Macaca fascicularis: one gene and its partner. The protein of the gene in region 2 interacts with the protein of the main gene of each other region in a biochemical or structural test. Links are inferred from orthologs where the notes say so. Each region holds a gene or a part of one and is shown on either strand. Other genes may lie near its edges.

The links.
Region 1: the proteins of CCKBR (region 2) and CCK form a complex in vitro, tested with the Homo sapiens proteins (3 studies listed by BioGRID). The link is inferred for Macaca fascicularis from reciprocal best matches to the Homo sapiens genes CCKBR and CCK.

The regions. Positions count from the first base shown.
Region 1 is NC_088376.1:105,094,143-105,100,293, forward strand, and holds the start of CCK (cholecystokinin), read right to left. Parts: upstream 3,483-6,151; 5' UTR 3,416-3,482; intron 3,298-3,415; exon of another isoform or gene 3,237-3,297; intron 2,376-3,236; 5' UTR 2,374-2,375; coding exon 2,160-2,373; intron 1-2,159. UniProt on the Homo sapiens protein: This peptide hormone induces gall bladder contraction and the release of pancreatic enzymes in the gut. Its function in the brain is not clear.
Region 2 is NC_088388.1:59,822,304-59,828,324, forward strand, and holds the start of CCKBR (gastrin/cholecystokinin type B receptor), read right to left. Parts: upstream 3,492-6,021; 5' UTR 3,283-3,491; coding exon 3,132-3,282; intron 1-3,131. UniProt on the Homo sapiens protein: Receptor for gastrin and cholecystokinin. The CCK-B receptors occur throughout the central nervous system where they modulate anxiety, analgesia, arousal, and neuroleptic activity.

The DNA of each region.
Region 1 (6,151 bases), on a different chromosome or scaffold from region 2:
AGGTATCTTTACCCACTGCCCTCCAATAGAATTGTTTCTTCTTGGGCCATTGAAAGTGCTGCAGATATTTCCTAATGATAAACTCTTAAGCACTGCTCAAAGAATGCATTGTCTTGTTTAGAACATTTAAGCATAATATATACTATAGTGGAGCAAAAATCTGATGTGATTTCGAAATATGTAAAATATTCAAAGAAACCGTGCAGTTTCTATAGTGTGAGTATTTATTCCTAGTTCATGTTTGTCACATAGAAGAGTTTGGTTGTTTTTTAGCTAGCGTTGATCCTAGGTGTTGGCATCTAAATTTCCAAGTGATTGCTATTTTCTCCTGGGTTTGTTTGGCACAATTGGCTGAAGGCAAAGGGAGAGGGGGGCTGAGAAGAAGGACTAGAAAAACTTTCCAGCTAAGGTTTATGCTTTAAGAGCCATTGTCTAGTATTGGTTCTAGGAAATAATGTGGTAATGAGTTGTTTTTTTTTTTTTTTCCTAGAACAATTTTGGAACCAAGAGTCAATTCAGCACATTTCAGGCCTTTTTGCAGATATCCTCAGCCTACATAGAAGAAAAACAGGGTCTTTCCCAAATTGGGGGAGGGGAGTTCCAGATCCACAGATCAATGAAAAGCCTAGGATATTTCAGACTTGTCTGGCTGAAATTCAGCCTGTATCTGGGGACAGACACTAAATTATTTTCAGGCAGAAAATCAGCAGGAACTCAAAAGCTTTCAGACTTTCTCTCTCCATGTGATAAGTATTTCTATCTTCTTCAATTTAATTAGTAGGAAAGCAAAACAGAAGGTAGTGGGTGGGGCAATTTCCCAAAGACAGGAAGAAATACAACAAATCACTGATTTGTTCTTTCCTTCTGAAGCCTCTGGGTCAAAGAGTTCCAGTCTTCCCTTCATGTGAGCCCACAGGAGAACTCTGCAGAGCCAAAGCTCTTCATCTTATCCCTTTCTGGTCAAGCCAGGGGTTAAGGTTCAAATCCAGGCCCTGGAACACCTGTTGGGTAAGAGTGCAATGGTGCAATCTCGGCTCACTGCAACCTCCACCTCCCAGGTTCAAGCTACTCTCCCGCCTCAGCCTCCCATGTAGCTGGGATTGCAAACATGTGCCATCATAACCAGCTAATTTTGTATTTTTAGTAGAGATGGGGTTTCATCATGTTGATCAGGCTGGTCTCGAACTCCTGACCTCATGTGATCCACCTGCCTCGGCCTCCCAAAGTGCTGGGATTACAAGCGTGAGCCACTGCTCCTGGCCTGCTGAATTATTTTAATGTCCAGCTGTGTTTGTACTGTTCAGCACACTCCTCCACAGCCAGTGTTCATTATTAGTGCCACTGGGGATAAAGTTGGCAGAAAAAAGCTGCCGCAATCCAAAGCATGATTCCTATGGGTCACAAGAGATGAATGGGCCTCCCTCTGAATCACACAAAGAATTGGAAGGAGCTTAGGGGAAAGCTAGCCTCAGGTCAGGACTGCCTGCATGCCACTCAGCTAGTGAGGGGCTGAATCACCTTATTCCTGGAGAAAGACTTTGATGCTGAGAAAAATGACTTGCTCAGCTCTTGCTATAACTGTGACCATCTCTGCGACAGTAAAGTAAAAACAAATACCTCTCTTGTTGGGTAATCATGTGTAAGTCATTGCAAGGAGAACACAAAACTGCTGCTGATTCTTTCCTTCTGTTACATGGTTTGGTGGAGATGGACACATTGTCACTGCTTTCTTAAACTGTTGTAGCCAGATCTCAGGCATTCTCAGCATTGACGCCTTCCTGCTAGAGGATTTCCAAGGGTTGGTATCTGGGTGGCTCCCAGGTTCTTTGCGTTTTTAGTAGAGGGTATTTAGTGTATCTAGGAACCCTTTCCTAGGGTTCAATAATTATCTTTTAATGGCTTGGTAAAATGGTGTTGAACTTAATCAGCAACATTGCTAAAAATTAGTTCAAAGAAAGCTTTTCAAGAAGGGTCCCCTTACTTATAAATTAAGTCCTCCATACCCCTTCTCAGATTGCTACAAAGGACGGCCAGAAACCATGTTGCTTGTTTCCTACCGAGAGAGGTCATCTTCATTAGGCCGGCGCTAGAGAAGAGGGTCAGCATCCAGAGCCTGGGAACAAGGGCAGAAGTGAGGGATGGGGAGGCAGCATTCTTACCTTTCCTGGCCTGCTGGATGTATCTTGCCAGCAGCGCGCCCAGGTGCGCTCGGGACTCCCCGTCCGTTCTCTGCACTGCCCTCAGCTGCCTACGGGGCGCCTCCTCTGCCCGCTGCAGCCCGGAGCCCGCGGGCTCTGCGGGAGGCACCGGCTGCGTCAGGGCGCCAGCCGCCAGTACCGCCATCAGTACGCACAGGCGCACGCCGCTGTTCATGGCTGTAGGGAGCAAAGGAGGAAGGGGCGTTAACGGAAAGGCTGGGCATCCGAGAGCTCCTGCGGCGGGCAGGGCACCCAGAAACCGGCTTAGGACAAACACAGGTGCTCCAGACTCCCCAGGCCGCCACAAGCACGAGGGCTCAAGTCGAGTGCCATGGCGCGCGCCCCCGGGCGCACACGGCTGGTCTTTGGGAACTCCACACCCAGTGCCGAGGGGCAGACAGAGACCCTGTTTTTTGCCGTGTTGAGCAGAAGGAATGTTTTCTGCTTCCCTAAAGTTTGAGGAAGTGTTTGCAGAGTGCCTCTCTTCTAACTGAAAGAAGAAAAATAAAACCCCACGAGATTAAAAATAGTGTGAAAAAAATATCCTAAAGGGAAGACTCCGTGGGAGAAATGAGAACCCTAGGGAAAGCACCTTTCCAGATAGCTAACAAGCTTTCAATATGGAAATACAGTAAATGACGAAAAAGAGAAGCACAGTTTAAAATGTAGGAGCAATAAATAAAGCCGTATTTATAAAGTTTTCTCAAAGTGTAGGTGGGAAATGGCAATAAGCCACTACGCAAAACATAGGCAGGTTTTAAAATCAGAAATAGGTGCCCAGCACTCAGGCTTCCAAAGCCCCGTGCATTTTAGATCGCTAGTGGATAAAACACCCTCACATTTCTATCCGTAAAGCCTCGAAATTTTCTGCAGTATTTAGAAAATGAATTTGAATCTTAAAACCCTCTGGTATTTTATTAGAAAATATTGCAACGTCCCCAGCACCGCTGTGTAACAGCTAGCAAATCTCAATCTGCATGCGAATCTTAGCGAATGGGTATGCCGGCGCGTGAAAGCCTCTAAAGCAGCTCTACCTACCCAGACCTCACTTTTAGACCCGGAACCGTTGTTTCTGACTTCAAGAAATGTCTTTCGAGCTCTCGGAGGAAAGACACAGAAAATAGAAAAGCAAAATGGAAATGGGCACAAAGCTGACGACAGCATTCTTCAAAGACACACGACACTTGGATCCCCCGCTGACGAACCGAGGGACCTACCTTTTGGATTAGAACGCAGCTGGCTTGGCGTTTCCAACCGGAGCAGCCCGGCAGCTGAGCCAAGTTCAGGGAGGACCAGAGGGCGGCTGCCTCTTAAATAGCCCCGCCCGGCGGCGTCGCCCAGTCATGTATTTACCCAGCGCTGACGCAGACTGGCAGCAACACGTGCTCAGAGGGTGGCCACTGGGACGACAACCGGTTGAAGTGGCTCCTGGGGGAGAGGGGGAGGTGGTCCAGTGGGGCGGATTTAACCCCTCCCTGGCTGGGCCCGGTGTCTGTCCCCCTCTGGGTCCGAGAAGCTTCCTTCCAACCCTTTCCAGCTGCCGCTCCCCTGCGCATTCCAGAGCAGTGCTCTCCAAGGTGGGAAACCTAGGAGTTTGGAGTCTTCCCTGGGATGGAGAAGCTGCCGCTAGCTTAGTTCGCTTTGGGGACCGGAGGGTCCAGAAAGGAAACTGGGGCGGGGGTGGGGGGTGGACACTGGGCGGGACTGAGCGTCAGTAAGGCGCGATTCTGAGAGGGATGGGGCGTGGGCCCCCCTACCCCGGAGCGTCCGAGGCACTGGTCTTCATACTTGTGTGGGCTCTTTCGAAGGAGAGGAGTCGGGGTCTTTACTTTCTTCTCAGCCGCATTAAAAGCCCTCGCAGTTCTCCAGGTTTCTGAGAGCTAGTGTTCCGGGTCAGTGAAAGGGCTCCGGCCACAGCTGGCTGTTGGTGTTCTGGGACTTTCTTTACGCAGCTGTAAAATGGGGATGACACCATCTGGCTTTGCTCAGAGGAATCCGGCTTGGGAAAGCGATGTGTTTCCTTCCCTGGCCAACTTACCGCCACCCGCGGCGCCCACTGTTCCCAGCTGCCGACAAGCGGCGCCAGCGAGGGTCCTGGGGAACTTGCCCACCGCACCCCTGCAAGCTTGGGTAGACCACGGCATTCGCCCCTCCCACCTTTCCGGAGGGCCCACACACTCACACCCCTAGGACCGTACCTGCCAGAACTCAGCTGCGCAGCCAGGAGATGAGGACCTCGCCCGTCGTCACTCACCCGTCCGGTGGAGGGAAGGGAGGCACCAAGGCTGCAGTGCGCCTTTCCCTGCGCGCGGTTACTCTCCTGGCTCCGGAGCGGGCCGACCCGTAGTCCCTCAGTGCGCGGTGGTCGTCTACACCCTGAAGCCCTTTGAGTTCGAATCGGCTTGCTGGCGCTTGAGTTCGCGACGTCCCCGCAAAGGCACTGCGAAACCCATTTCACAGACCGCAAACCGAGGATCGAGGAAGAGCAGCGCTTGCCAAGGCTCCACAATGCGCCCCTCGCCCTCTCCGTGCACCGAGGCAGCCCAGCCTGGGACCTGGAGATCACCAGGCATCCCTGAACCTTGGGACCTCAACTCCTCTCCCTTTCTTTCCCTCATTCGTCTTAGAGGGAAGGAGAAAGATTTAGAAGCGCTTATTTTAAAATCGGAATCCGTATTCCGCTCTGGAATTCCCTCTGGAGTGGAGGGACTGTGGCGATGACAGTGTGGGGGTCGAGTGGGTGAGGCGGGGGTAGGGAAGGTGGGGCGGGGGGCGGCCCGGAGACACCTCCGGTTGCTGCTCCACCTTCTAATCCTGAGAGGCAGCTGCGTTTCTGCAACTTATGGGCAATATGTTTGAAAGAGCTGATTAAATGATTTCCAGTGGTTTCCCCACGAGCCTGCTAAGGTTTTCGTAGTTCAGTTGGGAAAACTAGTCTTATTTGTGACTGTGGCAAGACATATTTGAAAACATAACCTTGTTATCAAAATATCCCCAGAACTTCTAATTCAGCGGGCTTGAGGAAGGGCCCAATAATCTGAATTCGTTTCTTCTTTCCTTCCTTCCTTCCTTCCTTCCTTCCTTCCTTCCTTCCTTCCTTCCTTCCTTCCTTCCTTCCTTCCTCCTTTCCTCCCTCCCTCCCTCCTTCCCTCCCTTCCTCTCTCTCTTTCCCTCTTTTCCTCTATCCCTCTTTCCCTCTTTTCCTCTCTCTCTCTTTCTTTCTCTTTCTTTCTTTCTCCTTCCTTCCTTCCTTCCTTCCTTTCTTTCTTTCTTTCTTTCTTTCTTTCTTTCTTTCTTTCTTTCTTTCTTTCTTTCTTTCTTTCTTTCTCTCTCTCTCTCTCTCTCTCTCTCTCTCTCTTTCTTTCTTTCTTTCTTTCTTTTCCTTCCTTCATTCAGACAGAGTCTCATTCTGTCACCCAGGCTGGAGTACAGTGGCATCATCTCGGCTCACTGCAACCTCTGCCTCCTGGGTTCAAAAGATTCTCCTGCCTCAGCCTCCCCAGTGGCCAGGTTGGTCTCGAACTTCTGAACTCAGGTGATCCACCCACCTCAGCCTCCCAAAATGCTGGGATTATAGGTGTGAGCCACTGCGCCCCACCAAGAATCCACATTTCTAACAAGTTCCCTGGCCATACTGAAAATGCTGGTCCACCAAGCACACTTTGAGACCATTTCTATAGAAATTCCCTACCTTATACCAGTTACTCAACTCCCGGCCCTTGGTCCATGTAATTCATGTTTATTCAACACTTACTTTGTGTTGGGTCCCAGGGATTCAGTATGAACAAGAGCTGACAATACAATAGGGGAGCAGAAGCAAACAAGTGGACAAACACCTCCCAACAATTCTGATATTTGGGGACTATGGAGTGGAGATGGTAGGAGGAAATCTTGGAGAAATGTTTTGGTCAGGCGAGCTAGGTGGTGATATGGAAACTGCCCAAAAGGCAGAT
Region 2 (6,021 bases):
GACTTCGGACAATATTAAAGTGAGTGTGGTAACATTTGTCTTTCTGTGGGTACTATCTGAGTGAACATGGGTAATACTCAAGTCTGCATGGATTATATAAGAAGAATAAAGTGGTAACATCCAAATTTCTATTGGTAACATTGGAGTGAACCTGGGTAACATATGCATCTGTGGGGATAATATCTGAGTGAGTGTGGCTGACAGGGTCTCTGTGTGTAACATCTGACTGGCTGGGTAATATCCGAATGTGTGAGAAGCATTTAGATAAGTGAGGCAAATTTTTGCACCTGTGCTCTGAATTGCTTCACATCCCGCTTTCACAGGGACTCTTCTCTATTGACTATCCCCTTTCTTATCTGCACCTTCAATCTTCCTCTCTTGGCCCAATCAACATCAAACACTTTTAAAAGCTCTTGTTTTAAAATGTGTGCACGCACACACAACAAACCTACACATATACCCGCCCCCCTACCCCAACCCAGCTGCCTCAATCTCATGCTATTTTTGGCAATATCCTGGTTTTCTCTCTCTCTCTCTCTCTCTTTCTCTCTCTCTACCAAACATTTGAAAGTTTTGGCTATATACCCTGGTTCACTTCTCATAACTCCCTCTCCCACCAGCCCAATCTTCAACTTACTATAGTCAAGCCTCAATACCTACAACTCCTAAATATTTTCTTGTTACTGAATCTGAAAGATGCTGTTCTGACTGTCCTGTTTTTTATTTATCTAACTTACATCAATAGCATTTGACATCGCTTACCCCAACCTGCTTGAAACTCTCTTTTTCTTGCTTTCTGGAAGGGCATAGCTCCTGCCTTTCTGACGGTTTCATCTGAATCTCCTTCATAAATTCTCCTTTCTCTGCCTGGGTTTTAAATAATGGTCTTATGCAGAGTCTTGACCCAGGACTTATTTTCTTCTCGTTCTATACAAAATATTATGATTTTAACTATTCTCATGGCTTCTACCTCCTGTAGGCAAATACCTTCAAGTCTGTATTTCCACCTCAGACCTCTCCTGTAAGTTCCAGACCCCTGGATTCAATAGCTTACTAGGTAACCTCACCTGGATGATCCCACTAACATTTAGACTCAATGGGTTCCAAACTGAATTCATAATTCCTTCTTCCAAACCTATTTCTGCTGTTTTGTTATCTTGCTCATTGTATACAATTGCTATAGCACCAATATCCATTCAATTGTCCAAGTTAGAAATCTGAATGTCATCCCTTGACCTCTTCCATCCTCTCTGCTTCTAATCTGTTGATTCCATTTCCAGAAAAGGCTCTCAAATCTATACACCTCTCTCTGTCCCCCTTGCCATTACCGTAGTCTCAGCTGGCATCATCTTTCACTTAAACCAGTGTAATATAGTAACCTTCTAAAGTACCCCCCTGCCTTCCATCTCATGTCTTCCAATCCATTCTCCACATTATAGAACTAATCCTGGTAGTGCTACTGAATCTTTTAGTAGTTCCTATTGCCCTCAGGATAAAGTCCACATTCCATGGTCAGGTCTAATAGGCTCTCTGCAAACTCTCTAGGCTGGTCTCCAGCCTGTTCATTATTCCCTTCTTAAGATATATGTTGTAGCCACTCAAAACTATGTCACAGTGGATAAAAGTGCCATGAATTCAAACTTGGAGCTTTTTATACATCTTTTATTTGGGATGCTTTCTGCCTCTTCTGCCTGTTTACTTGACTGACTCTCATATATATATATATATATATATATATATATATACACACACACACATACACACACACACACACACACACACACACACACACACACACACACACACTTTTCTTTTTTTTCCAACAGGAAGCTTAGAGCCAATCTCCCTAATTTTTTTCACTCTGTATCTCATTTCCTTAAGAGGCCAACCTTAATTCTCACGGAGGCTAGGCTGGGCTAGAGGTGCTCCACTTGTGTTCCCACTATCTTTTCCCTATCAAGGCTCTTCCACTTTGTGCTTCTATCCCCTGCTTGTCTGTCTCACCCATTAAGCTTTGAGCTCTGTGAAGTAGGAATTGTGTCAGTTTTGTTCAACTTACATTCCCACTGCCTAGCACAATCTCTGGTTCAATAAATATTGGCTGAATGACAAATCCAAGTGTGAGTGTGTAACAAATGGGCTGAGAAAGCATAGATTATTTCATGGGGTAAATACTTGGATTACAATTTATTCCAACTTTCCCTTCTCAAGTTTAGAAAAATTTATTTCCTTCACTAGAATCCCATCCTTCCTTTTCTGCCCACTCAACTTCAAGACCCAGCTCCAAGATTCTAGCCTCTGTGAAGTTCTTTTGGTGCCCACAGTTTAAACCTTTTCATGGGATTTCCACTGTGTCTGTGATTTTTCCATTTGCTTTTTTCTCTCTGCACTTGGCTATGGGTCATGAGGGACCAGACTGGGTCTAGTTTGCCTTGTACCCCCAGCACCTAGTCTAGGGCTGAAGAGGGAGCTTGGAAGATAGCTGGAGACATTACTTGCAGACAAAGAGAGAGGGCACAGAGCCTTGAAAGCTCCAACTAGGGAGGCAGAGGGGTTTGAGGAGTGAAATGGAGACAGGCAGTTTTAAGGGGCATCTCCTAGTGTCCAGCCTAAATCAGATTTGAGGATCTTTTTTTGGGATGCCTGGGGGCTGAGGTGTCAGATGTGATCACATCTTCGGTTTCCCATTCAAGCTTTCCAGAGTGCTCCCTCCCTCAACCAGCCCCCTTCTTTTCCCAATCCTGCCTTCCTTTCTTCCTTCCCTTCTCTGTTGTGGCTTTGTGAACTGGATGTAAGAGGGAAAAGGAGATCTGCAGGGTTGGCAAGAGGAGCTCCTCGCCTTCTAACTGGTGTCTAGGAGGGGCTGCGTGTTGGGGAAGGGGCTGTGCTTTGGGGCAAGCAGCGGCTCTGGGTGTAATCAGGGGACCAGGATGTGAAGGAGTTCCGACCAGGTGGTGTGAAGCTATGAACCTGTGAGCTGTGGGGGTGAAGGTGTGAGAGGAGCTGTTTGGGGGCTGAGGGGCACGGTGTGGGCGTTTGAGGAGATAGTGTGGAGCTCGTGGGGGGACTCTATTAGTGTTCTGGGGTACAGTGAGAAAGAGCTTGTGGAGGGGGATGAGGGGGGCACCCACCTCGTGTCCCGGCTCCGCGAATGCGAGGGGGCTCGCAGCTGAGGTTGCCCACACTGCTGCTGTTGAGGAGAGGCGCCGCCGGGCGGCACAGGGAAGCCCCCGGCCCGGGTCCGGTTCCCTGCACGCTCCGATTCAGCTTTAGCAGCTCCATGGCCCCGGCGGAGCCCGCCGCCTTACTCTGCTCGGCCTGGCGGGCTCCCACCGCGGCTCCACCTGCTCACGCTGCGATGGGCTCAGGCTCCCACCGCCCTCCTTCCCCGCCTCCCTGCCCCCCCTGGTCTCCGCCCCCAGCCCAGGCGCCTGCCCTTCCACTCTCCCGCGGCTCACCCCGCCTCGGTTCCCGTCCCTCCGCCAGCCTCTGTCCCACCAGGTGACTGTGCACCCCCTCCCGGGCTCGGGAGTTCTGCCCCTCCCTGTGCGACTGTCCTCCAGGCTCGCCCCCTCCCTAGATCTGTCCTGTCTCCTCTTAGAGATTTCTCTCCTGCCCACCTCTCTTTATCACCCGCCCCCACCCTCGATTCCCCGGAATGACAGAGAGAGAGAGAGAGAGAGAGAGAGAAAGAAAGAGAGAGAGAGAGAGAGAGAGAGAGAGAGAGAGAGAGAGAGAGAAGACAAGAGTATTGGCAGCGTAGCGGGAGGTTTTGGGGAAGGGAGGGTAGGAGGCGTTGGGTAGAGACGGCTGCCACGGATCCAACATCTTTCTCTGGTGTATCAGGGAACGTGGAGGTGGCGTTGGAGACCGGGTCTGCGTGCGTCACCTGCTGAGGCGCGGATGCTTTAGTCTGCACCTAGAGCCGCATTTATGGTACTGTGTTGCAGTGACCGCAGTGACCGTGACACTATTGCTACCGTAGTTCCCTGCAGCTCCTCGCTGCGGGACTAGGGTAGCTCCTGCATCTGTCTCCGCAACCTTCACCTCCTATCGGAGGCTCAACACTCAGGCTTCCACTTAAGGTTCCCAAGGAGCCCTCCACAGCTGGGCGGGAGTGGGGGTGGGGCCAGGATTTGGCTCCAGGGGAGGCTTGCCAGGGGAAAGGGCTCCCGGGAGGCAGCTTCTGACTTGGGTGTTGAGGGCAGTTGGGGGTGGTGGCAAGAGCTGACAAGGATAAACCCGAGTAACGTGAAGATGGGATATAATTCTAACGCCGGCCCAGCGCAGACAAAAGAGGAGGAGACGGTTGGCTTTCTCCACCGTCTCCAGGCAGCGCCCACGCCCACCCGACACGCTAACGGCTCCCTGTTTACTCTCAGTGCAGGCAGAGCTGCCTGTGTAGGGTGTCAGGTTCCCACGAGTGGGGGCTGGAAGGGGACTGGGTCACTGGGGTGCAGCGGGAACAGGGCTGAAGGGTGCAGGACTGAACTGGGTTCATCTTCTCAGGGCAGGATTTGCCTCTTCTACTATTTCAGCCCTGCTCCTTATGCATTCTCCTATCCATTCCTTTTCTTCCCCAGATTCCTATCTCCAGATTCCTATCCATTCTTCAGATTCCAGATGAACTCCAATACGATGTGAAATTCTGTCTTTTGACCCCCAGCAGTAGCTGTAAGAGGTGGGGGGCGGGCATCAGTGGAAGAGCAAATTAGAGAATGGAGTCTGGCTTTATGGGGGATTCAGCAGGCCTTTATCCAATCAATCTTTTGGAGAGGACCTGGTTCAGCCAGCTCTGAGTTTATAGGGGCTGAAGCATTGAAAGAGAGTTGAAAGACAGTTTATGCCTGAGATGTCGTCAACTGCCCCTCCTTCCCTTCCTCCTGGCACTGCCTGTCTTGCCCATCAGAGAGCCTGGACCAGACGAGCTTGATTTCCTATTTGTTCAACTCCAGCGCAGGTGAGGCCTCAGATAACCTGCTCAAGTTTTCCCACATTGGATGGCAGTACGATGAGGAGGGAAGGGAGCAAAGGACATAAGGGAGAGGGGAGTGAAAATAGAAGTAGATGAACATTCACTTAATTAGCAAACTATGCCAGTTCTAGGGGTGTGCATTAGTTGTCCAATATAGTTTGCCCCTGAGTAGCACCTACTCTAGTGGGGATTTTCCCAAGTAAGCCAATGATTGTAATATACGGTCGTTAAGTGCACCCATCGGGATGTACATATCAGAAATTTAGGAATTATTATTGATGCCTTACTCCCCTATGATCCTTCACCCCTGTGCTGGATGCTGTGATGCAAAGCCCAGAACTCTCTTCAAAAATGAAGGATTTATTTTCCAGTTGCGGAGAGTGCTGCTAAAAGATGGCCCTCAGCTGTCAGAACCCTTCAGGAGTTGCCTAAGCAGAAGAAAGCCAGCTCATCCAAGGTTATGCTCCCTTTCTTGGGCATTCTATATCCAATGACCAATCAGTGCAGAGGTATAAAAGTTTAGTCCCCTCAACCCAGTGGTGGACAACTCTGAAAGATGCTCACATCCCCAGAGCTCTTCATAGGGTTGACTGAGGTCTTTGCTGGGTCTGAATTACTGCTCAGCTTCTCCTTTTGCCCAATCCTATTTTCATCCTCTCTCTTGCACAGGTGTTAACTCCAAGAGTACTCCTTAGTAAACATCCTCCACAGTAATCTTTGTTTGAGAGTCTGCTTCCTGGGGAACATAACTACATCCCTCCCATATTGAATCAATCACAAAGTCCTGTTCATTTTAGCTACTGAGTGTTCCTTGAATCTGTCTGCTTATATGTCCACTGATATTACCCTACTCTTGAACCACACTCCTAGCTTCCTAAGTGGGCCACCATATTTTACTGATGCCTCTTTACATCTATCCTTCATCTTTAGCCCATGTACTATGCTTAGAATACAAATCTGACTACCCCACTCTTTTGACCTTTGCTTTTGGGATAGAGAAAACATTTTAACAGAATCTAGAAAGCCTATGTGGCCTGGCTCCCACT